Linked DNA regions of Alligator mississippiensis. The protein of the gene in region 4 purifies or fractionates together with the protein of the main gene of each other region. This does not show direct contact. Links are inferred from orthologs where the notes say so. Each region holds a gene or a part of one and is shown on either strand. Other genes may lie near its edges.

Evidence for each region.
Region 1: the proteins of PPP1CC (region 4) and EIF2AK4 purify together in Homo sapiens (affinity purification with mass spectrometry; 3 studies listed by BioGRID and IntAct, counting the BioPlex papers as one, with this or other methods). This does not show direct contact. The link is inferred for Alligator mississippiensis from reciprocal best matches to the Homo sapiens genes PPP1CC and EIF2AK4.
Region 2: the proteins of PPP1CC (region 4) and KIFBP purify together in Homo sapiens (affinity purification with mass spectrometry; 3 studies listed by BioGRID and IntAct, counting the BioPlex papers as one, with this or other methods). This does not show direct contact. The link is inferred for Alligator mississippiensis from reciprocal best matches to the Homo sapiens genes PPP1CC and KIFBP.
Region 3: the proteins of PPP1CC (region 4) and WBP11 purify together in Homo sapiens (affinity purification with mass spectrometry; 4 studies listed by BioGRID and IntAct, counting the BioPlex papers as one, with this or other methods). This does not show direct contact. The link is inferred for Alligator mississippiensis from reciprocal best matches to the Homo sapiens genes PPP1CC and WBP11.

Annotation. Positions count from the first base shown.
Region 1 is NC_081825.1:242,153,954-242,161,461, reverse strand, and holds the start of EIF2AK4 (eIF-2-alpha kinase GCN2), read left to right. Parts: upstream 1-4,495; 5' UTR 4,496-4,564; coding exon 4,565-4,705; intron 4,706-4,816; exon of another isoform or gene 4,817-4,951; intron 4,952-7,508. UniProt on the Homo sapiens protein: Metabolic-stress sensing protein kinase that phosphorylates the alpha subunit of eukaryotic translation initiation factor 2 (EIF2S1/eIF-2-alpha) in response to low amino acid availability.
Region 2 is NC_081829.1:55,373,319-55,380,509, reverse strand, and holds the start of KIFBP (KIF-binding protein), read right to left. Parts: upstream 3,021-7,191; 5' UTR 3,006-3,020; coding exon 2,646-3,005; intron 1-2,645. UniProt on the Homo sapiens protein: Activator of KIF1B plus-end-directed microtubule motor activity. Required for organization of axonal microtubules, and axonal outgrowth and maintenance during peripheral and central nervous system development.
Region 3 is NC_081827.1:90,989,727-90,997,087, forward strand, and holds the start of WBP11 (WW domain-binding protein 11), read right to left. Parts: upstream 3,016-7,361; 5' UTR 2,904-3,015; intron 2,769-2,903; exon of another isoform or gene 2,749-2,768; intron 1,172-2,748; 5' UTR 1,120-1,171; coding exon 1,056-1,119; intron 604-1,055; coding exon 572-603; intron 1-571. UniProt on the Homo sapiens protein: Activates pre-mRNA splicing. May inhibit PP1 phosphatase activity.
Region 4 is NC_081833.1:3,270,204-3,277,209, forward strand, and holds the start of PPP1CC (serine/threonine-protein phosphatase PP1-gamma catalytic subunit), read right to left. Parts: upstream 3,010-7,006; 5' UTR 2,922-3,009; coding exon 2,867-2,921; intron 1-2,866. UniProt on the Homo sapiens protein: Protein phosphatase that associates with over 200 regulatory proteins to form highly specific holoenzymes which dephosphorylate hundreds of biological targets.

The DNA.
Region 1 (7,508 bases), on a different chromosome or scaffold from region 4:
CTAACCCCAGCCAGGCTGAGAGCTGGGCTCAGCCTGGGACAGCCACAGCAGCAGCAAGAGAGCTTCCTCTCCTGAGCCTGCTCACAAGCTGGCAAGGAACACAGAAAACCAGGCAGGGAGAAGCCTGCATATTCTCACTGCCACTGTCCCTGGGCAGATCCAGGGGGGACGTCAAGGGGGTACAGTGGTACAGTCATACCCCTCCCACCTGGATTCCTGGCCTACCCAAAGTATAAACAAACTGCCTAGCAGTGGCAGCAACATTTTTATTCAGGCAGCAGTGAAGGAGTCACTAGACTTCATGGTTTATTATAATCTACCCCATCCCTTCTAAACTCTTTATTCCACAGGTGTTAATGACCCTATTTCCTTTTTAATGATCTTGGTGTTCACTAATCAAGCTAGCCTTTCTTTTTCAATTCTGCTGTCTGGAAGCTAGTGGCTTCTGGTAATGTAGTTCCTATTTCACAACCTAGTAGACTGTTTTTAACCCTAGATAAAAACTTTAACTCAAGGGTAGAAATAACTTTTAGTGAAGTATTGGATGCGCTGTCAAGATATTCAAGAAGTCTTGATTTTATGAATCTGAAGGAGATGTACATTTAATTCTAATGACTACAGGACTAAAGAAACAATTTTATTATTTTGCCTAGTTTGTTCTGTTTTTTAAATATAAAATGTATAACAAATTCATGTATATCCGTTTAGGTTAGATTTGTTTTTGCTTTGATCTTCAACTGAATAATATAGCCCTAAACCCCTAGCATGTTAGCAAAGCTTCTGGTTTCTTTTTACTTGGAGAAAAATATGTATTAAGTTATCTGTGGTGATGTACCACACCATCAGCATCCCCCTTTTCAAAACCCTAGATCCACTCATGTCTCCAGCTGATCCTGGCTCCCTGCAGAGCCCAGATAGAGTAGAGCAGGAGTAGCTTTGGAGCCAATTTAAACCCAGGGCAGATGGGGACAGCATCAGAAGTGGGTGGTAAAGGGGGAAGGGGAGGGAAGGTGTCACTGAGCAGGGGGGAAAGGAGATGGAGAATCCTTACTTGTTTTGGGGACTTAAAAAAAGTTCTGATGCTGCTCTTGCAGCATCAACTGAAAGCAGGGGAGGGGGAGGGGGGACTGCATCCATACTGAACGCCCCCAGATCCACCCCGTATATATGTTGCATCTTGTATTAATACATGCTATTCTATGTATGCCACACAAGCAAAATCAGCAAATGAATTGATTCAAAATGTGCACAGTACTTACACATGTTCTATGTCTGTAACAGAATTGCAGTGAACTTCTACTGTCATATATACATATATATTACACACACACACACACACACACACACACACACACACACACGCCACCTAAGTTTTCAGGTAAATTGCTTTTACAGTCAACTAATTTGTGTTCTTTAATGGGCCTAAGAAAGTCAGTATCCAATTGTTTATCATTTCTGTATGTATTTCAGTAAATAAACATATTTCACAGACTATAAAGAGAAAGTGAGGCAAATGTTTACATATCTGTCTATTCTCTGTAAACCACTATTACCAATATTTTTCTTATCCACATACAGAAGGGATAAGAAGGCACCTATCTAGTAACCAACAGTGAGCCTTACAGCAACTTTGGTTGGAAAGATCTGAGAATGTGTGTGTGTTCGTTCTCACATGCTTCCGCAGGTCTGTGAGGAAACTTTTAGGACAGGAAAAAGTATGTAATGACAGAAATGGATGTGACATGTATGTGACAGCAATATTAATAGGTGTTTGCCAAGTTTTAAATGAGTCTTGCTCAATAAATTTAACAATTTCTTCTGAAAAGATTGTGATTTCTACTGAATTTAAATTAGTTTTGCTGTGTTAAGGAATATTTTATGCATTAGCCCAGGGGTGGGCAATTATTTTGAGAGGAGGGCCACTTATCCAGTTTTGGCAGGCTGTTGAGGGCCGCATGGGTAGCCCTGCCCCTTGACAGGTGCCCCACCCTCTGGTCACCATCTTGGGACCAACATCCCAATGTCTTGGGACCAATGTCCCAGGGCCAGCACCGGTGGGGCCCAGAGTGGGGCACAGGCTGGCAGGGGTCAGTGGAGCCAGGCTGGGCCGCACCAGCAGGGAGGGGGAAGCTGGCCTGGCTCCATAAAGCCCCTGCCAGCTGGGACCCCACGCTCCTGCTGCCCTGCTCTGGGTCCTACCGGCACTGGCCCCAGGACACCGGTGCGGGCCCGTGCTCCCACTGGCTCCCCACCCACTCATACCCAGTGCCCCCCAGCCCCGCGGTACAGGCGGGGGGCAGCACACAGTCCTGACCCCCTGCTCACCGACAGGGAAGAAGCTGGTGCTGATCATGGGGAAAAGTGGCCCCTCACCTGCCCCATGGCTGGCACCCCATGCTGCAGGCGCTCACAGCCCACGTGGGGCTGTCTGGAGCAGGCACAAGCAGCCCCAGGTGGACTGTGAGCGGCTGCAGTGTGGGCAGACGAGGGGCCACTTTTCTCTGCGCAGGGAAAGAGCCCAGGGAAAAGCTGAGTGGGGGGGGGGGGAGAAGCAGCCCCTCCTCCGCCCCATGCCTGGTGCCCCACGCTGCAGGCGCTCGCAGCCTGCATAGGACTGTCCAGAGTGGGCACAGGCACGCCACGCAGTCTGCAAGCAGCTGCAGCACTTTCCCACCACGCTCCTTCCCTGAGCTTCCTGAGCTGGGGCAGCCACATGCTCCCAGCCCAGAAACCTTGGCTGTGGCTTCCGGCTGGCGGAAGGGGCCAGGCAGGTCCTGCTGTTGTTGGAGTCCACTGGGCTTCCCCTGGGTCCTACTGCCCTTGGTTCATGTCATTTTTTACAGGAACCAAGGGCAGAGAATAATAATTTTTCAAATTTTTTTTTTTGGAAAATTGTCCATGAAAAAATAAAGCCCTGGAAATTTTTCTGCCCCGCATCTCTGCTTGTACTGCCAAATTCCTAAACCCCATAGACTGGATCAGGGTCAAGCCATGTCCCATACAATGATACATTTTATATCAAGCCATGCAGCCTGACTGGGGCCAGGCTATGCCCCACACAGCTGGATCTGGGACAAGCCATGCCCCCTTCTCCTTCAGAGCCCAATTGGGCCCTGCCTCACTGCCCTGTGCACCAGATGGAGCCCACCAACCAGATCCAGCCTGCTGGTAGACTGAGCACTGCCCACCTCACCGGAGCAGGAACACCACTGATCTAGTCCTTTTTTGACACCTACTAAGGTCTTAACCTCAAGGCTGTTTTATGACAATAAGTTTCAAAGGTTAATTATCCATTGCATAAAAATATTTGTAGTAAACTTCTTGGGACTGGGATCATGTCTTCATAGATGTTCAGGCAATATCTAGTGTAACAGGATCCTTATTTTGATGGGGCCTCTGGGTAAATAATTAATGACAACGGACTAACTAGCATTGCAGATTGGAGGGGAAGAAATTTTCTGGCTTATTTAATCAGATGCTTTGTGGCTGTGGTATGTACAAGGGACCAGAGTGAATGTTCTTATGGATCCCTTTGGGAAATCAGTCCACTGCAAATTGGGGGGGGGGGGGGGGGGGGGGGGGACTGGATTTGACAGCTTGGGAGGTCCTTCCAAGTCCTTTGTTTCTAGTTAAGTTGTTATTTACTATGTCTACCCACTCCAAAAACTACAGCACAGTGACTACAGTGGCTGGTCCACATAGAAAGAATGGAAGCAATCTGGACACCAAACAAAGCGCCCCTTGGCTGTCAGAGGGGACAAAGCCACATGGACAACCAAGACAAAGATGATGTACTGTCTATGGACACGAAATGTGCATGACTGGAGATGAAGGCACAAAACAGATGGGAATGGATGAAGATAGTGGAGGCAGCCAAATCCCTCTAGGGCCGATAGTGCTAAATTATTTTACTTTTTATTTTACTTTTAGTCTAAAAAAGAGAATTATAATTCTGTGGGATTTGTAAAAACTGTAACCCATCACTTCGAAGATATCTCAAATCTGTTAAGTAAATCTCAGACAGAAGTCCTTGGGAAATGCATTGGTCTTGTTCAAAGCACCATTTCCCCCACTGGTGGTCTAGGCTCGTTCCCTGCCCTTTACCTCTGAGGAGCGCAGCAAGATACGGGTGACTCCGCGGGCGATTCGAAGAGGCCATGTCAGGAATCACTGCATTTACCTCTTGCTGACAGTTGGACTCTACCTGGGTCCTAGCCTGCTGGGATGAGGCTGGCAAGACTGAAAAGATCTCCCTTCAAGGAGGAATTCAAGCGAGCGGCGGCAGAGGCAGTCCGCTCCTTCCCGTGTGCTCGGCGCCGGGCAGGGCGCGAGCAAGGGGTGCCCGGTACTTAGCGGAGCACCGGGCGGGCGAAGAGGCTCTTCCGAGGCCGCCCCAGCAGCGGCGGAGCGGCGACAGGTCCGCCCGCGGCCGCGGGGGGCAGCAGCGGCGGCGGCAGCGTCCCGCGGGGCCTGGCGGCTGCCCAGGCAGGAAGCGCTGCTTCAACCGCGGCCGCCGCCGGCGCTCGGCGGAGCCCGGCCATGGCTGCCCCCTGCCGCCGCTGACATGGCCCGGGCGGGCGCGGAGCCGCCGGAGACCTACCAGCTACGCCAGGACAACGAGCTACAGGCGCTCGAGTCCATCTACGGCCCGGACTTCCGCGACCTGCGCCGGGCCTGGCCCCGGCCCCGGCCCCGCGCTGCCGAGGTGACCCCCCTCCCCCCCCAAACCTGCGGACGCGGCCTGGCCCCGCTTCGGCTGCCAGGGCGGGGCGAGCGCTGCGGGGCCCCGGAACAGGGGAGCGGCGCAGCGGCTCACCCTGCGCTCCCCTCCCTCGAGGGACACGGGCTCCTCGCCCCGGGCCGGCCCCAGCCAAACAGGCGGGGACAGGCCTCCCTGAGGCCCCCGCCACACCTTCGGGCGGCATCGTTGGGCCCTTGTAGCCGCCTGGCTCTTGGTTTCGAGCCGGACGCGAGCTGTCATGGCGGGGGCACCGCTTTGTGGCGGGTGAGAGTTGTGGCGCGGTGCCCGGGGGAGGTGTGCTGCAGGCAAGGGGCGCAGCATCCTCAGGCCGGCCGGCCGGCCGTCCTGCCAGCCCCTCGTGATGAGGGCACCGTGCTCTCGGGCCCATCACTGATTAAAACAAGTTAAAATCAAGCAACAGGGACAGGAGTGAGAGGCATGGGTTCAAAAGGAGCGCACCAAGGGGGGACACCGAGCAGGACACATGGGACAGCATCACCCTCTAGCTCTCGAATGAGTCAAGGGAGCAGACCAGGGACAGGGAAGCGGCCTCACAGGTCCCAAGGGCCCTCTCAGCCCGTCTCTTTCTTGGGCAGACAGACCATGAGCTAGGCTGGCACCAAGAGGAGGTTGACTCTGAGGTCCCGGGATTTGGTGGCGTCGCAGGTGGGGAGTGGGTAGATGAAAAGGTGCAGCCAGAACCTCAGCAGCAGGCAGCGAAGGAGCTGCAGCCTGGCACGCTCTGGGCACTGTCTGGTGTGCTTTGCTCCGTGTTCCCCCTCATGAACATATGACCCACGTGCCAATCCCTGTTTTGTTTTTATTTTTCCCGAGGAATTAGCGAGCATTACGCCTTTAGTAGCCGCTATCACCAAGGGGTGCTTATAGCTCTACTCAGTGGGCTTTGGCCTGCTATCCCAAATGACGTATCAAAAAGCCTGGCGCTCTCCAGGGAGGCATGCCCCAGGGTCTCCCTCTGCTCCTGGAGGGGACAGGAGTCAGGGACATCCCTAAACCACACCAGATCCCTGCTGTAACACAGCTGGAAGGGCAAATAACACCAATTATTCCTAATTGTCCCAAGGGAAAAGATCTTGTGTTCTGTGGGGAGAATCAGTTGCCTGTTTTTAGCATTTGAATACCACATTATCTCTCTAGCTAGCACTTCTTACCATGGCTCTTGGAGTAGGTCTGAGCAGGGGGCTCCTTTAAAACATTTTGAATGCTTTGTGGCTGCCATCAGCTGACTATTCTCTGATACACTTTGCCTCTTTTGGGTGCCCATGTCTTCCCCTTCTTTGGCTACCATCTACATGACTGCCAGTGTAATTAATGCTCAGCACTAAATACATTGTTTTCATAATTAATGCTTGTGATATGACTTGCTTTTTAATTAAATGTCAGTATTGCTCTTTCCTCCCTAATCAATTAAAGCCTTAACTAATTGTATAACTATATATCTGCTTAATTAATTTTCCTCACATTGCTTTACAGTATGTTAAAAATTAGGAGTCTAAGAGTAGGGTCTTGTTTAACTAGCCTAGTTTTCAAAAGTGCCATTCACATCACCAAGCCTGTTTAAAGCTTGCTTCACCATTCCCTTTGCAAGCTTCTGTGGTCCTTGCCATTCTCTCTTCCCTTGTCCTAAATTGTTGCAGAAGGAAACTAATGGGGAAATTGATTGGCTTCTTCTAGGTACCCTTCTCCCTTTCATTTTCCCTTTATGTAGCTTATTTTACCTTTTCTCAGCGTGCTTCCATTACATGCTACTCAACTTTTTCCTGACCTTCCAGTAAATCTAAATTCCCAGTGACAGAAATTTAAACACGTTTCTGTTTTGAGTTGGAGTGTTCCCATGATGGTCCAGGAAATGAACGAGAGGCAAGTGATACCTTTTATTAAACCAACTTTGTAGCTGGGAAAGATGTTGGACAAGCTTTTGGGCATCAAGTGTCCTTCCTCAAGTGAATTTAGGGACCCGAGGAAGGACACTTGATACCAGAAAGCTTATCCAAGAGTTCTTCCAACTATACTGTTGCTTGATTTAAGATACTAAAAAGTTTTGCCTTTCTGTTTTAATGCATAATTGTTTTTCTTTTAAATTATTCCAAAGGCTGCTTAAAAAAACAAAAGAAGGAAAAATAATATTTAGCAAAACTCCTAAACTTTAAAAAAAATCCTCCTTATGTCCCAGCAAAAGGATATAATACATGTGATGCTATAACACAGCATTGCATCAGAAAGAACATATTTTGCTCTGATATTTTCTTAAAGGCCAAACACAAGCAGGAATAAATTTAGATTTTATTTATGTATTTATTTATTCATTTGTTTATTTATTTTTGCCCTGTCCCCTGCAGCCTCTGCTCCCCACACTGCCATGCCTTTGCTTCCCGCTGCTTACCTTCCTCGGGCATCTCCAGCTTCTGCTGGGGTCTGCTCCTGTTAACAGCAGGTAGCACAGCACAGAGCTCCATCCTGGCTATGCAGCTGTAGCAGCTCTTGCTCTAGCTCTAGGGCTGAAGCTGCTGCAGCTGCAACAGCTGTTGTGTGGGGCCAGAGTCAGCGTGTGCTCCATGCCCGCAGCTAGACCGGGCCCCAGTGGGAGTTAGTGCTGCAAAGTGGGGGGGGAATAAGTAGAGGGGCAGGTGCTCAGGGGTGCAGGCACCGTGGGGAGAAGTAGGTTGTGGGGGGCAGGTTAGAGGGGGACAGGTGGGAGAGCTGCAAGTTGTGGGGCAGGCAACCGGGGTACAGGCATTGCAGGGGC
Region 2 (7,191 bases), on a different chromosome or scaffold from region 4:
ACATGCTTGAAGGGAGAGAGAGGCTGCAAACAGATTTAGACAGACTACAGAAGTGGGCAGACGAGACTAGGATGGGGTTCAGCATAGACAAATGCAGGGTGCTGCACCTTGGGAGAAGGAATCCACAGCATACATACAGGCTGGGGAGTTCCCTTCTTGAAAGCACAGAGGCAGAAAGGGATCTTGGGAATCATTATCGAGTCCAAGATCAACATGAGCCACCAATGCCAGACGGCAGCCAGGAAAGCCAGCCATACTTTGTCATGCATCCAAAGGTGGTCATGCATCTCAAGCCGGTCCAGAGAGGTGATACTCCCCTTCTATGCGACTTTGGTCAGGCCGCAGTTAAAGTACTGCATCCAGTACCGGGTGCCACACTTCAAAAAGGGATGTGGCCAGCCTGGAGAGGGTTCAGAAGAGGGCCACCCGCTCAGTGAGAGGGCAGCAGGACAGGCCCTATGAGGAGAGACTGGAGGACCTGAACCTGTTCAGCCTCAGCAAGAGGAGGCTGAGGGGGGACCTGGTGGCTGCCTACAAACTCTTCTTTTCTCCCCAGCACCACCTGGGGTAACAAGGAACAATGGTAATAAGCTGATGGAGAACAGGTTTAGGTTAGAGATCAGAAGGCAATATTTTACAGTTAAGGTGGCCAAACTCTGGAACCAACTTCCCAGGGAAGTGGTCCTTGCCCCTACCTTGGGCAAATTCAAGAGGAGGTTGGATGATCACCTGTCTGGGGTCTTGTGAACCCAGCATTCATTCCTGCCTGTGGCAGGGAGTCAGGCTGGATGATCTGTTCAGGTCCCTCCTGACCCTAGCTACTATGAAACAAATCTGAAAACTTTGCATGACCTAAACATGCTTGACTGACTTCTGATTACTGATGACACACTGTTCTGTCCCAGCCAGGTTCTTAAGCAACCCTGGATCTGTTAAATGATTGCTTTGCCCTGCTGAGCATGGATATTTCATAAGTAGAGGTCTACCTAAATCACAGGGGAGCTTACCAGTTTTTGCAAGTTGATCACAGTATAAAGTTGTAATTCCATGGTCATTTCACAAAAAGCCCTGCCCCTCAGCACTGACTGGAGAGGCTGTGTTGGGGGGGGGGGGGGGGGGGAATGACACAAGGTGGCAAACCCCTCTTGCCTGCTGCCCTTCATGTCACTCCACCAGCTGGCACCTTCCCCTCCCAGCAGCAAGGACCACTGGCTCCCGCTGGGGAGCCAGTATTTTATTTTTAAGGGGCTCTTTCCATTAAATTTTGCAGATTTTGTGGACAATCTGTGAAACCACAAATTAAGTAGGTCTGTAATGAGGTGTCCCAATGAAGGACAATAACCAAATCTTTTAAACAACCTGCTTAAATAACACAAATGGCTCTCCCCAGTCTGTAGCAGAGACCCTCCACAGAAGCCTTTACAGGCTAGTTGTGTGAGGCTTTGCAAGGAAATGGCTGTTGTTCTAGCTTGGTGACTCTCAGCCTTGTCAGTGTAAGGCCTGTGGCCAGCCATGCCCATTTTCAAGGGACCCAGACCCAGCTGCAGAAGTGTGGCTAAGCAGAAAACCCCACAGCCTGTTTCTAAGTGATCGTAGTGTAAACCTTTGTAAATGTGACAACTAGCTTGGTCAGCAAAGGAAACCATCCACAGGTGCCAGCAGACATAGAGGGACACTGCTTCAACATACTGCAATTACAGTGCGTTGGAGCAGACTCAATCCAGTCTGCTGGTGTGCACTAATTAGTGTGCTCCAACAGCCTCCACATCTTATGTATTCAGAGTCCCTGTGCTTCAAAATGGCAGTGGGGACATTTACTAATGCTTATCCAGTGAGCTTTAGTTGAAGCACCCCCACCCTGATTTTGAAGCACAGGACACTGAATACATGAGTCACAGCAGGTGACTTAATTAGAGCAGCTCTCAGAGCTCAAGGCCTAAAAGACCATGTTAATTAATCCAATACATAATATCATAGCTTTATCTTAAAATATTAGCAGTAACAACTGATGTGCTCAAATCCATTAGATGTCATGTTGCTATATGTTTGTTAAAATGCTTAAATAATTTGTAGAAACAAAACAGCCTTGCCAGAAAAGGCCATAAACTAAGGTAAAAACAAACAAAAACAGGCCCATGTTAAACAACACTGGACAACAACAAAAAGAAAGGAGAAACCCCGCTTCCTTTTACTTCCTCAGGGATATAAACCTCGGGTATTAACACCTTCCAAGTCCACAAAAAATCTGGTTTGTTCCTGCTCCAAAAGTTCCAGTAAAGCAAAAAAAGATAAATAAAATCAATCAAACCCCATTTAATAAAATATTAAAGCCAGCACCTGCAAATGCTAGGGTACTTAGCAAATTCAAGAGGACCTGGTGCCACCCTTGGAGCCTCCCAGCCCAGGACCCCGACACTGAACTCCAAGGTTGGTTTGTTTTCTAGCTCAAGCTGTGGCTGCAGACCCGCTATTGACTGTTATCAGCAGCCGCCCCACGCACGATGCCACCTGGGTCCCAGTCCCAGCGCAGGGCTTTGCGGGGCAGCGGAGCAGGGGGCTACAGCACAGGCCTGGCGAGCGCGGCCGCCGCGGGCAGGGCAGCGGTTCGGACCGGGGCTGGATGCCGGGGAGACGCCCGTGCCCACCTGCGCCTGGATGTAGAGGGAGACGCAGGCCCGCGAGAGGCGGCGCGGCTCCAGCAGCCGCGTGCACTTGAGCAGGTGCTCCTCGCCCGCCGACAGCTCCTCAGTCTCCGTGTGGTTCACGCCCAGCTCGTACTCGAGCGCGGCCAGGCGCACAGCCCGCAGCGCCGCCGCCGCCCCCGCCTCAGCCTCGGCCGCCTCTTCTGGGCCCAGCAGCTGCTTAATCTCCTGCAGCAGCTGGCGGGCGCCGTACTTGGAGCGGTAGGGCTCGGTCTCCGGGTCCTTCTTGGACTCCACGGCCGACAGGCTCTGCGCGCTGCGGAACTTCTCGCACAGCGCGGCCCATGCGCCGCCCGCCGCCATCTTACAGCTCTCAATGCCCCGGGCAGCTGCCGCGCAGCGCCCCGACCCGACCCGCCCCCGGCCGGCCGGCCGGCCAATCGGCGCAGGGGCGGGGGCTGCCAGTGACCAATCGGCGCGCGGGGCGGCCTTGCAGTCAGTGTTATGGTGCCCGACAGGGACCAGCTGCCACTAGCCCCGCAACTCTGCCTTAGCTGCTACGTCACGGCCCCACTGGGTCGCGGCAGCAAAGTGGGGGAAGGTGCAGTGTGTGCCAGAGCCAGTGCGCGCAGAGCTCCGCAGGTGCAGGGCGGGCTCCGCTCGCAGCCTCGCCTGGGGGCGTCTCACGCACCAGGGGCGGAACGCAGGTATCGAAGGGGAAAGACTAGCGAAGACCTTTTCTCTGGGGCGTATACACAAGCGGTGACATCCTGCCCTCATGTGCCACAAAGCTGTAGGCCCCCCTGCACATCCCTTGTTGTCACTGTTTCTTCAGAAACAGCGTGACAGGTCCGAATGGCCCCCACGGCAAAATCCAGCCCTGACTAAGGCTGCTGCTAGTGTTACATACATTAAACAATTAGCTGGTCAGTGGGTGTGCAAATGCTGTGAGGTGGATTTACTCTAGAGTAAATCCACGTTGGGCAGGCATCTACACATGCAAAGATTTGGGAGCAGAATCACTGCTCTGGGCAGCAGTCTGCCCCCACCCCCTCCAGCCCTGCAACAGCTCTAGGCTCCTGCTGGCTGCTAGCCCAGGGGCTGGCAGGGAGCACAGGGCCAGGAGATGGGTACCTCCTGACAGGGATTGGGAGCCCGCTCCCTGCCCCTGGGAGCTGCCTGTTGCCTGGGGCTCCTGTGCCGGAGCCAAGGAGGCTGGGACCTGCCGCTCCCTTACAGTTCTTTCCAAGCCCTGTGCCCTTCATCTCCCACTTGGGGCAGGGCGCTGGGAAGAACCTGCAGGGCTGGGACCTGCCCCTGACTGGAACAGTTCCCAGCCAGCCCCAGGCTGCACAGGGAAGTCTGCAGGTGGAGCCCAGAGCTGACAGGGGACTGCCTGAAAACAGGACAGCCGAGTGAGGGCTGGGAGTTCCCTGTTGCCAGGGTAGGGGGACATTGTCCCTGCCTCAGCTCTGGCAGTGGAGCCCACCATGGCAGCAGGCAGGTCCTAGGGGCAGGGAGCAATCTCCCACCTCCTGCTGCCCAGCTGACCAGGAGCAAATTACCTAGGTCTACACACGCCATACTGTGCAGTAATTACACGACAGTTAATTTGCTACTTGCATTTAAAGGTAGCAAATTAACTGCGAAGTAAGAGGAAATTACTGCGCAGTAAGGGTCAGCACATGTAGATGGTGATGCTTACTATGCAATTATTAGCTCTATTGCACAGTAAAATGTCTCTTGTAGATGCACCCAGTCATTGCATACATCAGGGGCTGTCAACAGGAGTACGCATGCCCCTGGGGGTACTTAGGAAGGTCCCTGGGGAGTACATGGCAGCAGCTCGAAGAAGGTACCTGGGAAGTGTATCATTGCTGTCAGAGAAGGGGCAGTATTTGGGAAGTGCACCATCGCACGCTGCCCAAGTACCCCCCCACTTTGCATCTGTCCCGCTGTCAGAATCCCCCCCCCAGCTCATCCAGGGAGTACAGTGTCCAGGAGGGGTACCCACCAGAAGAGGTACACTCCTTTAAAAAGGGTGAAACCCCCTATATAATGCAAAATGAGTCAGTTGCACAACAATGTAGACAAGCCACAGTGCAAAGTCATTACCATCCAATAAAAATGACTGTCTAGCTTTAAAAAGAGCCAACCAACTCTATAGTGCTTGAAAATGTATAACAACTCCATAGCTGGTTTCTCACCAGCTTTTATTTGAAGGTATAGCAGAACCCTAAGGAAATGGGAAGGCTAGGGTTTCTCTTAAGAGCATAATTTAAAATGCCTTAGCCTCTGCATTCAAACTAGCAATGAGAAAATGGGGCTACTACTGATGAAAACCTGCACTACAGTTTCATAGTTGGTAGGATCGAAAGGGACCTGAACAGATCATCAAGTCCGACCCCCTGCCATGGGCAGGAAAGAATGCTGGGGTCAAATGACCCCAGCTAGGTGCTTATCTAGCCTCCTTTTGAAGACCCCCTGGTAGGAGCAAGCACCACTTTCCTTGGAAGTTGGTTCCAGATCCTAGCTGCCCTGTGAAGTAGTGCTTCCTGAATCTACTCTCCATCAACTTATGGCCGTTACTCCTTGTTACTCCTGGTAGTGCTTAGGAGAACAGGGACTCTCCCATTGCCTGCTGGTCCCCCTTGGCAAGTTTATAGATGGCCACCAGATCCTCTCTCAGCCTTCTCTTGTAGAGGCTGAACAGGTTCAGGTCCCATAGCCTCTCCTCATAGGGCCTGCCCTGCTGCCCCCTGATCATGAGTGGCCCTCCTCTGGATCCTCTCCATGCTGTCCACATCCCTCCTGAAGTACAGCGCCCAGAACTGGACGCAGTACTCCAACTGCAGCCTGACCAGTGTTGCATAGAGGGGTGGATCACTTCCTTGGACCTGCTTAAGATGCATCTATGGATGCATGACAAGGCGTGGCTAGCCTTACTGACCGCGTCCACACACTGGCGGCCCATGTTCATCTTGGAATCAGTAGCGACTCCAAGATCATTTTCTGCCTCTGTGCTGACGAGAAGGGAGTTCCCCAGCCTGTAGGTATGCTGCTGGTTCTTCCTTGTCAGTATTGAAACCCATCCTATTCTCATCCGCCCACCCCTGGAACTTGTCCAGATCTAGTTGTAGCCTGTCCCTCTTCTAGTGTGCCCACTTCTCCCCACATCTTAGTGTCATCCACAAATCTGAACAAGGTGCTTTTCACCCCCTCGTCTAAGTCACTGATGAAGATGTTGAACAGTGTGGGCCTGAGGACCGAGCCCTGGGGGACTCCACTGTTCACATCCCTCCAGATCGAAAATGACCCATCCACCACCACTCTCTGGGTGCAGCCCTCCAGCCAATTTGTGACCCACCTGTGTAGGCATCGACACCACAGTTGCCTAATTTTTTTATGAGAATGGGGTGAGAGACAGCGTTGAAGGCCTTCCTAAAGTCCAGGAAGACTACGTCCACTGTGACACCTGCATCCAAGGATTTTGTGACCTGGTCATAGACGGCAATCTGGTCTGACAGGACTTGCCTCTAATGAATCTATGTTGGTAAGCATAATCTCCCCTGCTGGTCCCTCGCAGATGTGCTCCTGGATAATTTTCACAAACAGCTTTCCCAGGACCAAGGTAAGACTAATGGGCCTATAGTTTCCTGGGTCATCCTTCCTTCCTTTTTTGAAAATGGGGACCACATCGGCCCTTTTCCAGTCTCTGGCACCTCACCAGAGCACCACGAGTGCTCGTAAAGCTGTGCCAGGAATCTCGTGATGAACTCTGCCAATTTCCTCAGCACCCTGGTGTGGAGATCATCTGGATCTGCTGACTTGAACACATCCAGTCCCACCAGACACTCCCTGGCCAGGTCCTCATTGACCCTGGGCCTGGCTGCGCCTCCCCTAGGTCCATCCGGGATCCCAGTGCAGGGTGGGGGGATGTCCTGGTTCCTGCTCAGAAAAACAGAGGGAAAGAATTTGTTAAAGAGGTTAGATTTCTCATCTGGTGTGACCACCAGATTTCCAAATGTGTCCTGCAGAGGCCCCATGTTACCCGGTACCTTCTTTTTACTCCCTATGTATTTAAAAAAGGACTTGTTATCTTTGATCCTGGTCACTAGTCCCAGTTCTGACTCTGCCTTAGCCTTCCTAACAGCCCCCTCTACAATCTTGACCAATGGAGATATAATCCTTCTTGGTGATGGCCCCTCCCTTCAATTGGGTGTATGCCTCTTTAGCTCCGAGACATTCCTGGATGCCTTTGGTGAGCCATTGGGGCTTTTGAGCACTCTTGCCTCCTTTGATCCACTTCGGGACTGTTAACCATTTGGCCTTGGAGGATCGTCTCCTTAAGGAATGACCACTCTTCTTGGACTCCCAACTCCCCACCCCTTCCTGACCCCAGTGCCTCCCTGGCTAATATCCTTATTGAAATCAGCCCTCCTGAAGTCCAGGGCTGCTGCCTTGCTGTAGGCCTTTGACACCCTGCACTGGATGGTGAATTCCAGTAGGCAATGATCACTATTGCCCAGGTGGTTGAGAACCCAGAATC
Region 3 (7,361 bases), on a different chromosome or scaffold from region 4:
ATGGTATCATAAACTTCTAAAATTTAGAATCCTATGACTTCTAAAATATGGGAGAAACTCCATACAACCTAAAGAAAGAGAGATTTCAAAGCAACTTAAAGTACTAATCACATAACATACCTAGAAGGACTTTTAACCAACTTCTGACACTAATATAACTTGAGGATTATCTTGTTCAAGACACCTCCTCCTCCAGTTTTGACAGTTTTGGGATCCCAACATAATTGCTCCCATATTTATTAAGGTTTTCTTCTTCCCTGTTACCTTTCTATAAGGGCCAAAGGAACCACAAGGGAAAACTAAGCAAATGGGACATAGTAATCCCAATAACAAAAAAGTGCTACCAAAAGCACAAAGCAGACTGGGGGGGGGGAAGGGTTAAGGTTAAAAAAAAAATTCAGACAAAAACATGATTTAGGTTAGCAATATCCCTTTAAGACAGACAGCATCTTCACAACATAGAAAGGCTTTTGAGAAGCCCGGAGCCAGTCTGCTCACTGCCTAAAGTCCACTGCAGTTGGAAACATGAAACAAACAGGACAGCAATACCGTTGCTGACACAATGGCTTACCTTCTTCAGCTCCCTCTTCCGGGCCTCCTTTCCTGCAGAAAGAAAGGAAACAGACAACTTGAAAAAAAACTCAGTCAAACCCAGCCAGCATAACATTTTTCTTTTGCAAGTACTTCAGTTCTGTTTCTCAACAGTTTGCTGATTTGAAAACCAGTTCTATCCACCCCTCTTTTCTCAGTCCTAGAAAAATATGCTTATTAAAAAAAATTTCAGACACACTATGAAAGATAGACAACAGCAGTCCCCAGACCACTAAAAGCAGAGATATTCACAGTCACTCACTCACTCAAAAATGGAAGCAGATGTTTAATTAGAACAATTGTTTAAATTTAGTTCTAACAAAACAACAAATACTCTGGAGATGGAAACAATCTGTGTGCTGAACAGGCAAAAAGGAATTCAATCAGGAATCTGACTTGATCCTTCAGTTACTTTTCATTCCCATCTGTCAAAGAAAATATCAAGCATTTTTCTAGATACTCACGGGCCTGGTCTGTGGGGTTCATGAACTTTCCACTCTTGGTGGAGGATGTAGATCTCCGCCCCATCTTGGCCTGTTTTTTCTCTTTTCACTGCCACCTCAAAAAATGGATGAGTAACCTGAAAACAAAGCCACAACATCAGATTCTATCTATCAGTAATGATAAGCATGCTCCTATTCTTCCTCTCTCCTTCACCAAACTAATAGCTGCTGTCAGTATCCATCACATCTTTAAATCCCAGCTCTTGTGAATGCACAGAATTCAACTGCATGCAAGCCCCAGGTATGGATGCACAAACAAATACTGTGAAGTAAGAAGTGTGAACTTACAATTGCACAAACAAATACTGTGAAGTAAGAAGTGTGAACTTACAATGCATCATTTTGTGATAACTGCCCACATGTATGATCTTACCACACAATAAATACAAAGTAGCTTCTGCTTACCAAAACATTTTTAGTGGGAAGTCATTTGGCACCAGGTAAGGGCGCACACATGGGCAGTTACTGCAAAGCAGCTGTGATGTGATCTGAAGGATATGTTGTGGGAATGTGCTTGCACCCATTCCCTCTGGCACATATACAAAGCAAGATAACTACACCATTTTATCAACAAGCGACTCCCACAACCCACACTAAGTACATTGTTTGTATTTACAGGCGAGTTTTGCACACTGCTGCTTCTGCTAAGCGCACTGCACTGACCAGTGCACTGCTCCTTGCTTTTTTTCCATTACTACCTGTTTCCTATGTACTTCCGTTTCACTCCAGGTGCTCCCCTTTCACACCAGGGGCTCTTGCACACTTCTTTTGCCCCAGTCCCACGCCCCTGAGGCTTTCTGCACAACTCCCATGCTAGGGGCTCTGCATACACCCCCATTCCCTTTTTCTCCAGACTGGCTCACTGCAGTCAGGTAAGAGACTCCTTTCCTCACCACCCCTCAATTTCTGTGCCCCCCTGTGTGCTCTGCTCTCCCACTAACATTTTCTCCCTTCTCTGAGGCTGGCTGTTTGTTCAGGGCTTCAAGCTTAAATTCGGCTGGCCTGGCAGACAGGAAACGTTATGCTGGAAAGTATTAACTGATGCCATCGATCTGTTCTTTAACCTTGAGACAACCACCGAGACATTTTCTCAGTGAGGGACCACCTCCACTAAGGAACCAACTCCCCCCTGAATTGATAACTAAGGGTCCCTGTGTCTCCACTTTCCTCCTCCTCGTTTTCACAAAAACCGGGAGCCCCTCTGACACAGGAATCCCTGCCAGACACCAAAGGCCATATTTGAGTGAAGCATCTCAAGCTGCTGCCTCGCATCCAAACGCACAAACACGCCAATGGAGATTAGCACCAAGCTGAACATAAGGCCTCAGAAGTTGGGTCAAAACCCTCCTATGAAAGGGTGGGGGGGCTCAACCTTCAGCCTGCAGAGCCTGGTTTGTCACCCGGCCCACGGGGCTGCCCACGGGCACCAAAATGTGGCAGCGGGGAAGCGGCGGCACCCGGATGTGCGGGGAGCCCGCGGAAGGGAGACCGCGGCCTGGCCTGCCAGGATGGGCCCTACAGGGGACCAATTCAGCCGCTCCCCAGATCCGCCGCAAGCCCGAGCAGCGACGCTGTCCCCTGGCTGCCGGGCCCGCTGCCTTCCCCGCCCACCCCGGGGCGCGCAAGGGTCCGCCAACCCCTGCCCCGCGCTCACGTCCCAGCTGAGGCAGGAACCGCTTCATTCGCTGGAGAAGCCGGAGCCCAACGGGCCGCCGAGAGCCCGGCACGGCGCAAGCCGGCTCCGCCGGGGCCCACGCGGGGGGAGGAGCTACGGCTCGGCAACACCCGCCCCCGCCCCGCGGCTCTCACCTTCGGCGGTCGGGCGGCAGCTCCTTCCTACCGCCGCGGGAGTCCCGGCACGCAAGGCCCCGCCGCCATTTCGCATGAACCACAGCCGCGCGCCACTTCCGCCCCGACCCGGAACCTCTTCCGGGCCCCGCCAGAAAGCGGCTGCGAGCCGGGGAGGAGGGAGGGCGCTTCCTGCCGGGGGTCTCCATGGTGACGGCGGGAGTGCAAAAAACAAAATAAAACAAAACAAACAAAAAAAAACCCAGGCCGAGCGCCCTTTGGGTGGAGTGAGTCACGTGGCGGGTCGGGGGCGGGAGCGGATTGTCTGGGTTGGGGTCGCGCGCGGTCTGCCTCGGAGTCAGGGCTTGGCCTGGGGGTGGACTTGGGTCCGTACAGCGCGCGCTCTTGCGCTGGTGTCACTCGTTTCGGGGCCCAGCTTGACCCGCACCTGGCGCAGCAAAGCCTCTTCCTGGAGCCAAACCACGGTGCCCGTCACCTGGGTCTGGGCTCTGCCAAGGGAAAGGGGTGTTTCTCCACGTTAGTCTCCCCTAGCGAGCAGGCAGGGCACTGGGGTGCACCTCTGTAGACTTGACTACATAAGACAGGGGCGGGCAATTATTTTGGGTGGAGTGCTGCTTACTGAGTTTTGGCAAGCCATCGAGGGCTGCTTGACAGGTAGTCAGGGGCAGGTAAATATTAATTTTTGAAATGTTTTAGCTGCCCTGCAGGCTGAATAGAATAGCCTGGCAGGCTGCATGTGGCCCATGGGCCGCATTTTGCCCACCCTTGGCATAAGATATGACTGAGCTCAGTCAAGGCCTACACTCAAGAGAAGGGCAGACAAAGCAGTCCAAGGACATCCTCAAGGCCCACTTGAAAAAATGCAGCATCTGCTCCTGGGGGACTATCACCCAGTGTGGCCCCCAAATGGAGGAAGAGTCAGTTGTGAGGATCTTGGTACTTTGAGACCTCACAACAACAGTGGGAAAAGTGGGAGCGGCAGAAACAACGTGCCGCAGACCAAATCAAGAACCCAGAGCTGCCCAGCCCACGTGGAAACATGCGCCCAAGTTGCAATCCTGAATTGGTCTTGTCAGGCGTCTTTGGACCACAGATAAGGCAGTGGTGGAAGACGATTACCCTTGACTATGAGGGTTTGCCTGTGACACAAGATACAGAGAGAGAGCACAAAAGAGCTGGGGTTGACTGCTTTTGACCGCATCACAGATTCACAGAAGTTTAGGGCTGGAAGGGACCTCATGAGATCATCGGGTCCAGCCTCCCTGCTCTGGGCAAGAAAGACCGCTGGGGTCAAATAATCCAGATGTTGTAAAAGGATGTCATAATAAAGCAGAGTGATTAGAATACAATAGGTGAGAAAGCGAAGGGGAGGGGAAATGCTGAAAGAACCCAAGGGAGTGAAAAGGTCACCATAGCTAACCCAGGTAATGGGATAAGAATCTGTAGTCTCTGTTTAAACCATACTTAACATGGTCCAGTTTGTGGCTGATTTCTTACTCTGCAATTTCATGTTTAAGCTGTAGTTTTAAAATGTTTCTAATTTTTTTATTAAGGGAAACCAGGAGGCAACTTGGATGTGGCCTACTTGGAAACAGCCAGCATATGCAAAGTGTATAGATGGGAGAAATGCGGATGCTGGCTGTTTCTCCTTATTCAAAATTGGTAGTTAAACAAGTGACTACAGCTTCAAGCAACTCTATGACTTGCGTTACCAAGTGAATCTAAAAGATTTCCACAAACTGTTATTGCGAACTGTTCTGTTAAAACCCAGTCTCTGCCTACTTAAAGCATAACAGACTAGGTCAGGGATGGCCAACCTGTGGCTTAAGTACTAAAAGTGGCACAGGCAAGCTGTATGTTTGCAATTGGGAGGGGACAGGCAACACAGTGGTGGATAGGATAAGGAGCGGAAAACATAGCAGCAGGTCAGTCAGGAAACGCGGGGCAAAAAGCAGGAAACGAGGAGCAGGCTGGGCAGAGGAAAGGGATCTGAATGTCTTGCAGAGAGGTAACAGGGCTGATTTGTGGCAAACCTCCTAAAAAGTTTGGCCCCCACTGCACTAAGTTATCCTTTCCATGCACTCCTTTATTTCAAAGACTCTCCACTGGAGCAAAGTATCCACTGATACACATGAAAGCATCTCTTTGAAGGCCACTGTAGAAATGCCTGGTCACTCTAATTTCATGCCAGACTTGGTTAATGAGCTCTTTATTACACTTAACAAATTCAGAATAAATGGGCTTGGTTGCCTCCATTACCTTAAAACCAGCTAAAATACAGAGATCCTCCTGTAAGCCTCTGTGAGGTCACTGCTACATCTCCTAGGTCAAGCAGAATTGCTGACCAGCCCCAGGCCTCTGTGAGGTCACTGCATTGTGCTCTGTGGGACTGGCTGATTGCCACAGCCTACAATATGAGTACTTCATAGAGATGAGCTCACTCTTCCCCCCGTTTCTACTTCATGAAAGATGTATCTTTCTTTTCCCAGCATCACCAAGAATCTGTAAAGGTGAATGAAAATTTTATCTTTTCATTCCCCCTCCCTCACCCCCACCCCCGCTTCCCCCCAGAAATGTATTTCTTTCCTTCTTAAGATGGACAAGCTGCCAGAAAAATCTGCTAGATGTTTTGGTCTGTAAGTCTTTCCAGTACTCTTCTGCTTAATGGGTGATTTGCCACACCTGCTGAGGTTTAGTCAACTGATAGACTACTAAGAGCTACAAAAGAAATTAAGCCTGGAAGTAGGAAGGAAAGGGAAAAGAGCACAAGTAAAGAGGGAAAACAAAGAAAGCAAATGAGGTTGGAAGGGAGACAAACATGAATAAGGGAATGAGAATAGAAGAGAGATAAAAAGGTGGAGAGCTGCTTCAAATTTTACACAGATACGATAGTTGTTACCGTACAAATCTGCTGTTGGGTCTTTTCTGAATAGTTTTATCACAGTATGTCTTGGTATAAAAAACTGAGCCTGTGTACAACTTTCATATAATGATCTGTACAGTTTATATGCAGGGTGCTTATATAAGTACTTATATAGGTGCTTATAAGTCCCTGTACAACTTTAAACATTAATGACTTTGGCTACTGAAAGCATAATTCATTATGTTTTTTAGCATAGTGTAAGTATTGTATAGGGTAAGGCTCATAAATGCCAATCATGAAATCACTCAGCTAGAAAATGTTTGCTATGAGTTGGAAAATCAGACTGAACGATGTATCACAAAAGATGGCAGTTATGTTGAAGTCTAGAAATTTGAGCTGTATTGTGTTAAAACTTAATGTATTATGCTTTCAGTCACCATTTACAGTTTGCTTCTATCAAGTATACATCCAAAGTTATTAAAGTTGCACAAGGACTTTATAAACAACCTGTATTGTTACTTATACATTGCATCCTTTCTTAGTACCAGTAAATAATGTGCATGATTTAGCTTTAGACTAATTTTTGAGACAAAGAACAAATGCCTATGAACTTAGTCAACCAAATAGAGAAAAGAGCTCTCAAAATTAATATGGTACAGGTTTAATATATTTTTAAAATTACAATTTTTATTTAAATAACAGCCAAAAAACCCCCAAAGTTCAGTGCGTCTCAGAGAAGGGGCATACAAATCAAACTCTTTGCTCTAACCTTTTGTTTCCAAACTAGGCACATTTAGATTTGTAGTATTTGTGTTGCGATGTTTTACAGGACAGGCTGTGGATATATTGAACAAACCCACTACAGTCCCATATCACTCATCCATTAATCACTTTAAAGAAAAGAAAATAGCATGTCCTTGTAGGCCAGTCGTCCTGCAAACACTTTTGCCTGGATGTAGATCCATTTAACCCAGAAGAACTGCATGTATGCACAATATTAATTGCACGTGTGTTTTCATGATTGGGCCCATAGCGTCTGGAATGCTGGAACCTTCTTTTAATCTCTTAACTGTAGGGTTTAAATTGTGTGCGCACATATTTTTCAAACCACAACTCTGTCAGGATTAGAGTTCATTTTAAGTAGGGCACTGGGTGGCTTCACAGATACAGATTCAAAACATTGACAGATGATCTTGAGAAAGGGAATCCTGTATATCAAGATTATGTCTAGTATGCACCAGAAAAAAGTTGCAATATCAGTAACCCTCCAAATGTGGATATTCTGGCAAAAAAAAAAGCCCACCTTCTTTGTCAGTGTATTTGCATCTCTACTCAGGCTTTTGCCAATAAATAAATAAACATTATAAAAATCACACACTTGACCATTATTATATCAACAAAAGTTTCTAGTATAGATCTGACCTTTATTCAGCTACTGGCATCTCTCCAGAACCTGGGAATTAGAGATAGGCTTGATGATGATTTTATTTTCTGCAGCCACTTGACCACTAGTTTACTAGATTAAGAATGAGCATTTTATTTCCCATAATCTCAGCAAACACCAGAAGCAGGTACTTTCATATACTACTTTTCTG
Region 4 (7,006 bases):
GCTGAATGTTAGACAAAGTACGTTTCTGTTTTTGTCAATCTTGTATATTTTGAATGTGCAAATATAATCTGATCCAAGATTACGCAGGCATCATAGAAAACTGCATAACTAAATTCAACTAGTGTTACAATCTAGATTTTCATAAAAAAGCTATCATGACAAAAGCTGGGGTTTGTTTCTTGAGACAGAAATAACAGCTACATTATTGGCAAATATTATTTTTAAAATAGTAGGTTACTCCCAGTTTTCATCTTCCACTTAGTCGTTTTACTGTGCTTTAACAATTAAAGTAAATGTGTCCTAGTTATGTTACTCTAGTCTTACGCTATTTGTCTGAGACCTAAAGTGTATCATAAATACCAAAAACAATGTTTTATGGCCCAGCACTTTGATGTGAAGAGTGCCATGAAGTTTCTTCACCAACTTTAGGTTTAATTAGCTGTTAAAGAAAGATGTTTAGCTTCAAACTACCCCATTCATATCTTTAAAGTTTATTAACAGATTTATCTAGAATCACTACCGATTGCCTACAAGAATGCATGAGTATGTTGTCTGGGATCAAACATGTGAAATGTCTTGTTACTAAACAGAGTGCTTTGTAGCATTCACGGTGATGGACTATGACATTTAGTTAAGGGAGAACCCACTCTGAAGGCACACACATCTAAGGAAATCCAATTTTGGGGTGTACCATAGTGTGTACACCCAAATGAAAACTAGCAGTTGCGTGAAAGTTCAGTCATGCTACCAAAACTATAGTTATAATTGGAGGAGGAATTTGCTCTGAGAACAAAGATTGTTTTTGAAGAGGAAGTGGGGAAGGATGTGATAAAAACAAATTAAGAAATAGCCACTGAAAGAAACAGAGTATAAAGAGTATTTACATCAACTTTTAAAAAAGTTGAACTTAAAGTATAAAAAAAAAGTTTGTCAACTACAAAGCAATGCCCATGCTCCTCTCTAAATTTATGGGGAGGGGGGGACAATCAAAACTATAGACACAGTGTATTTTGCAAAACACAATTTACCTTGTAAATCTACATAATTTGCTGGTTGGGCCTTTGGGGAGGTCGGAGTGTGAAGGTTGCTCTCTCAAAACGGTCTGTAAGAGCTTGCTAACAAGACCCTTCAATATAAGCACTTGCTGGAGCTTGTTTGAGCCCAATAACCTCCTGCCTGTGGCAAGGGACCGGACTTGAGGATCTTACAGGTCCCATCCCGATTCTAAAAAAAAAAAAAATCAGTTTTTTTCCTTGCATTTAAAACAAATGCTACTTGACCAAATTCAAAAAGAGGTCTTTTGGTTCTCCATTTGTAAAAAACATAATAAATACAAACAAGAATCCCATGTTATTGAGGTTATGCACGGAACAGCAATCAAGCCATGACAAGTAATTGCTGTGTAGCTTATAACACAAGTGGGTGTTAATATGCAATATACTAAACAACCATCAAGAGGGGCCTGCACCTCATCTTATACGAGGTCCCTTCCAGCCCGAACGTCTAGGAAGTCTATAACACTAGTTGATGTGAGAACTGCCATTAATATTTATAAGCATTCATATTTCTGTTCATACTTGGAGACAGTAACAACAAGGCTATTCAAGACATCCAAGGAACATTTGGACACTGATCTTGGTGGGATCCTTTGACCCATGAGGCAGGAAGTCAGCTGGGGGTCAAGAAATATTTGGACATTTACCTTGCTGGGATCCTTTGACCCCCAGCTGACTTCCTGGCCCTGGGGTCAAGAAATATTTGGACGCTGATCTTGCTGGGATCCTTTGACCCCCCCCCAGCCAGCTTCCTACCGCTGGGGGTCAAGAAACATTTGGACGCTGATCTTGCTGGGATCCTTTGACCCCCCCCAGCCAGCTTCCTACCGCTGGGGGGTCAAGAAACATTTGGACATTTACCTTGCTGGGATCCTTTGACCCCTAGCTAACTTGCTGGCCCTGGGGTCAAGAAACATTTGGACGCTGATCTTGCTGGGATCCTGTGACCCCGACCGACTTCCTGCCCCGGGACAGAGGGCTGGACCCAGCAATATTACGAGGTCCCTTCCAGCCCCACCGTCCACGAAAATACTATTTCGAGCCTTAGCAAAGAGTCGAGGGTTACCCGAAACAACTCTAGTTACGACCGCTGGAACGGCAGGAATACAGGGTTCAAGTTCGGCGGCTCTATTGAGGCATCTTGTTAGCGAGCTCGCGGAGAGAGCAACCTTCCCGTGGACAGCCCAGCCAGCGACGAGACGCGTTACTAGTTCAATACGACTGGCTTTTCCAAGACGCCCACCACCACGGACGTTTCGGGCGAGGAAAACGCGGCCAAACACGAACGATAATCAAGACTCGCGCGCAAAACAACTTCTGAACGACTTGCTGCCCTTTCCCGGGTCCGTTTGGGGCTCAGTCAAGAGTCAGAGACCTACTGCAGCCCCCCAGCACTGGCACGGAGGAGGGGGGAAGACCCCCAAGACGGATGTATTTCTTATTCTTTGTCCCTACAGCACCCCCACCCCGCTTTTGCATCACGCAGGTCGTTTATTTCCAGAGAAATGCTGCAAAGCAGCAAGAGAGGGCAGCCCGGGGGGCAGGTTTCTCCCACCTGGCTCCAAACCCTCGGGGACTTTTGGCAGCGCAAGGGGGGGGGAAGGGGGAAGTTAAACCCCGGCGGGCCGGGCGGCGGGACACGCGGCTCCTTCCCCGCACGCGCAGTGCCGTGCCGTGCCGTGCCGTGCCACACGAGCCCCGAGCTGCGGCAGGGGCCCAGCGGCGCGCCTCACACCCCAATATTTGGGTCCCCTGAGGGTGGGGGAGGGGGCAGGAACGCGCGCGGGAACCACCCCCTTCCTCCTCCTCACCCTCCAGCAGCCGTTGGATGATGCTGTCGATGTTGAGCTTGTCGATATCTGCCATGGCCCCCGAGCGTCCCCTGCTCGCCCCGCGCAGCGCCGGCGCCGAACAAAATGGCCGCCGTCTCCTCAGCTAGCTGTGGCGGCGCACGGATCCCAGGCGCAGCGCCGCCCGGCCGGGACGCCTTTATAGGCAGAGCGGCGGGAAGAGCGTCCGAAGCACCGGATCCTTCCGCCAGAGGGGCGGGGCGAGGGGCGGAGGGACTAGGGCCGCCCAGCAGTCGCCTCAGGGCGGGTGTAAGAGGCGGAGTGTGTCGGTTTTGCTCCGTTCCTTGCATCCTGCACTGGTGTGGGGTGACAACTGCGGCTTCGTGCAATAGCCCTCCCGGCTGGACACGCCTGGGAGTTGGAGCGGGTCAGTTTAGCGCGGGTTAAACTGAGCCATTAAGGAGGAAGTGGAGGAGGGTGGAAGGCCTGTCTCTCACAGTGGACCCCTGCTTCCAACAGCTGGATGTGCCCCTGGAGCAGCTCCCAGTGGACATTGCACGTCCTACCCCCTTCCTTCTCCAGCCCCCGGCCACCCAGGACCCCCACCCTGGGACAGGGGTGGGGGTGTATAGATTCACTGATACTATTTGACTCCACAGCCCCAACCTGGGCAGGGAAAAGCAGCCGGGGTTGGATGATGGCGCTTGTTGCGGGACTGGGGGGTTGGCGGTTGCATCTGTGAAATGGGTGTATCGACGGGACGGGCGCAGTCTGGAGCTGAGTTCGGTGATACAGCCCAGCCCCCGCCAGCCAGCAGGACTTGTCCAAGGGGAGAAACCACCTAAAAAAAATCAATTGTGAAACAGCAGGGGAGCGCGAAGCGGGGCCTAGTCGATTCGGATTCAGTCCGAATCGGGGGTCGGCGATTCGATTCTTTGACGCGTATTGCTTTCCCGGATTCGATTCATCCGAATCTGAAGATTCAATGCTGATTTGGAGAATCGGCGATTCGGACATAGACGCAGCTGATTCGATTTAGAGGAGATTCGACCCGATTCGGTGGCCGAATCTCAGAATCCGAATCGAATCGGAGAACCCTTTAATCTCTCCCAATCAAGGTGGGACCCTCCGAGTCAATTCGAACATACAGACAGCTTTAAATGTTTTTTCTAGGTGCCTCGAGGTAGCAGGCAGCTCGTGATCGCTGCGATGCTGGGGCGCGTGGAGTGTCCCACGGGAGTTGGGCCCCCACGTGCTCAACAGTGAACCCGGAAGTGGGCCAGAAGCCCCCCCGCATCCTCCCCGACTCGGCAATCGGCCATGGGAGGCCCCTGGGTGCACGCCGTGGGGGCGTGGGGGGGCCCCAGCACACTCCCCAGCAGGACCGGAAGTGAACCAGAAGCACTTCTGGTCCACTTCTGAGTGTGCTGGGGAGCCCCCCACGCTCCTGTAGGACGCCCCAGCATCACAGCGTTCACGAGCCACCTGCCACCTACACGTATGTAGAAAAAACATTTAAAGTTGTCTGTTTGAATCAATGCAGAGGGTCCCAATTGGATTCAGAGACATTAAAGAGTCCTCTGATTTGATTCGGATTCTGAGATTCGACTGCTGAATCGGGCCGAATTTCCTCTGAATTGAATTGGGAAACAAAGCTTTGCACAGCCCTACAAAACAGCTGCCCATGCCGACTCACTTAGAGTTCGTCGTGCTGGGGCTTGCCTTTCTTGGGGAAACTGTAGTGAAATCAAGTTGGGCTGGCACTTGAAATCCGGTCGTTATTCTGCATTCACTCCCTGCGCGGGGTAGTGGATTTGTGCACTTAGTGAACTGAGCTAAACCACATGCAAGCACTCCCCAGACAGAGCTATTCCACATGAGCCCTTCTGTGTGAACACTTTTATTTGAAGCTAAAAGAGCCTTTGTGCAGAATAGCCTCCATACTTTTAAATTCTCACCCTGGCTGATTTCACAGTAGCTTCCCTTGTGCAGACAAACCTTTATACATGTGAGTAACTTTATGCCCATGAACCTCATCGTGGAGCTGTCAGCATTTGCAGGATGCCTGCAAGGTGCTCAGAAATCCTCTGGAGACGACCACAGCAATCAACGTGCTCGTTTTTAGATAAGTTAGGTTTATTGCAGGGATTTCTTGTTTTATTCTGCATGCAGCAGCAACAAAATTGCAAGGCAGAGGCATACACAGTTAAAATCAGCCCAGAGATTGGAAAAAAAAAAATTACATTTGCAGGGAGTTGGCCTGTGCTGGCCTCTACTCTTGCTCACTTCTTTGCATCTCTGATTGAATATTGTTTAATTGGTTTATTTATTCTGAGTTTAATTTACAGGGATGACTGTGTCAGCTCAATTCCCGCCTCTCCTGCTCCTTTCTCTTGTGAATGCTGGATGCCTCACACTGACAGTTATATAATAATCATAACAGCTCATTATCTTGGTCAGGCTAGGGCAAAGTTCAGATTCACTGTGGTGATAAAGCAGGAGACGTGCCATCTCAGCACACCTTGGGCACTTGTACATGGTGTACAATAGGAAAGAAGCCAATAAGGAAAAAGCCTTTGCAGTAGTATAGATATGGACCATCTGTAGCACAGGCATTTGCCAATTATAAAATGCGACTTTATACTTTCCCAAGTGACTGCTTATGGTAATGAATGCACCTGAGCCAAATGCTAATCTCCATCCTACTGGTATCAATCCAAAGTAACCCCCTCAAAGAGAGTGAGGTTACTCCAGATTGATTTGTGTGACTCCATTCATAAGTTTACAGCTGTTTTCATGCTGCTCCTTCCCTTGGAACAGCTTCTTTATTCTTGCCTACTGTATGCCTTCCCTAACTGTCCCTGCTTTAATTCAGAGGGCCAAGTTTTGACATGCTAACTTGCCTTAACTCAACAGAGGTATGCCAGAAGAGGCCCTATACTTCCAGGGAATCCTTCCCATTTTGTCTTGCCAGTAATGTCTCTAGATCTTCTTGTAGTATTTCAGCATTTTCCATGGGCACGTATATTGTATCGGGTGCGCAGGTGTTCCTCTGGTCAGTTAAGTAGGTAATGAACAGTGACTAGAAGGTGTGTGTGTGTGTGTGTAAAAACCTGTACATATAAAACCTATATATATATATATATATATATTATATGACACATTTTTAACAACAAAACTTATAATTTTCTCTTGCTTCTCAGCTTTTTGGCTCAGGTCAAGTGCCTCAACCTCTTGTGGACTAAGATCAAATGGGGACATCTGAATCCCAGGATCTCTGGGCTTGGGCCTGCGCGTAGGATGCCTGCCCATGGATTTGAGAGTATCTGAAGTCCTGGGGTGAGAGTCAGGGATAGAGGATGCTTGCTGGCTGTAGCTCTGTACATGGTGTTTAGAATGATTGGGTTCTGCCTGCTCAATCTATATGGTTTTTGGAACTACTGAGTTCTGCTCAATTGATATAATTTGGAACTGATCTGGCTGATTTGACCTGGAACATGGACTATATTATTGTTGTTGTTAATAATAATAATAACAACAACAAATTATCATTTTGTCTCCCTTGGGGTTATCATTCAAGGTTTGAGCATCTTTTTTGAGGTTCTGAGTCCTTTTGACTTACGGATTTCCATAGGTAATGGCGGGGCTGAGCACTGTGCAGAAACAGTCTTTGAGGGCTCTGTCCTGCAATCATGGAAGTCAATGGGACCACTCACACATGTGAAAGTTGTTCGTGTGTGTTCAGGATTGGGCCTTTGTACTCTGAGTCAAACCATGTGCAGTGCAGAGCATCGTCAATTCCCTGTGGTCTTGGTGGAGGATAGGGAGCATCCTTTTCAGAATCAGACCCTTTTCTGCCAAGTCCTTTCTTACATTTACATTGCTACACGAACCTTGTTTTAATAACAATACATAATTCATATGGATCGAATGCATGCTGAACTACAGTTATTAAAAAGCCACTTTAAAATTAAATATTTTTAAATGAGCTAATTTTTCTTTGCAGAAAATGGCAACGTCCCCCAACAACAGTTTCACTGATGAAAAGAGGGATTCAGCCAAGGTATTTTAATGGCTTGAAATTATTATTTCCCCAATGTTGTTTAGAACAGTGATTTATTTCTAGAGGGGAAATAGCTGGGGGAAATCCCACCATCCCTC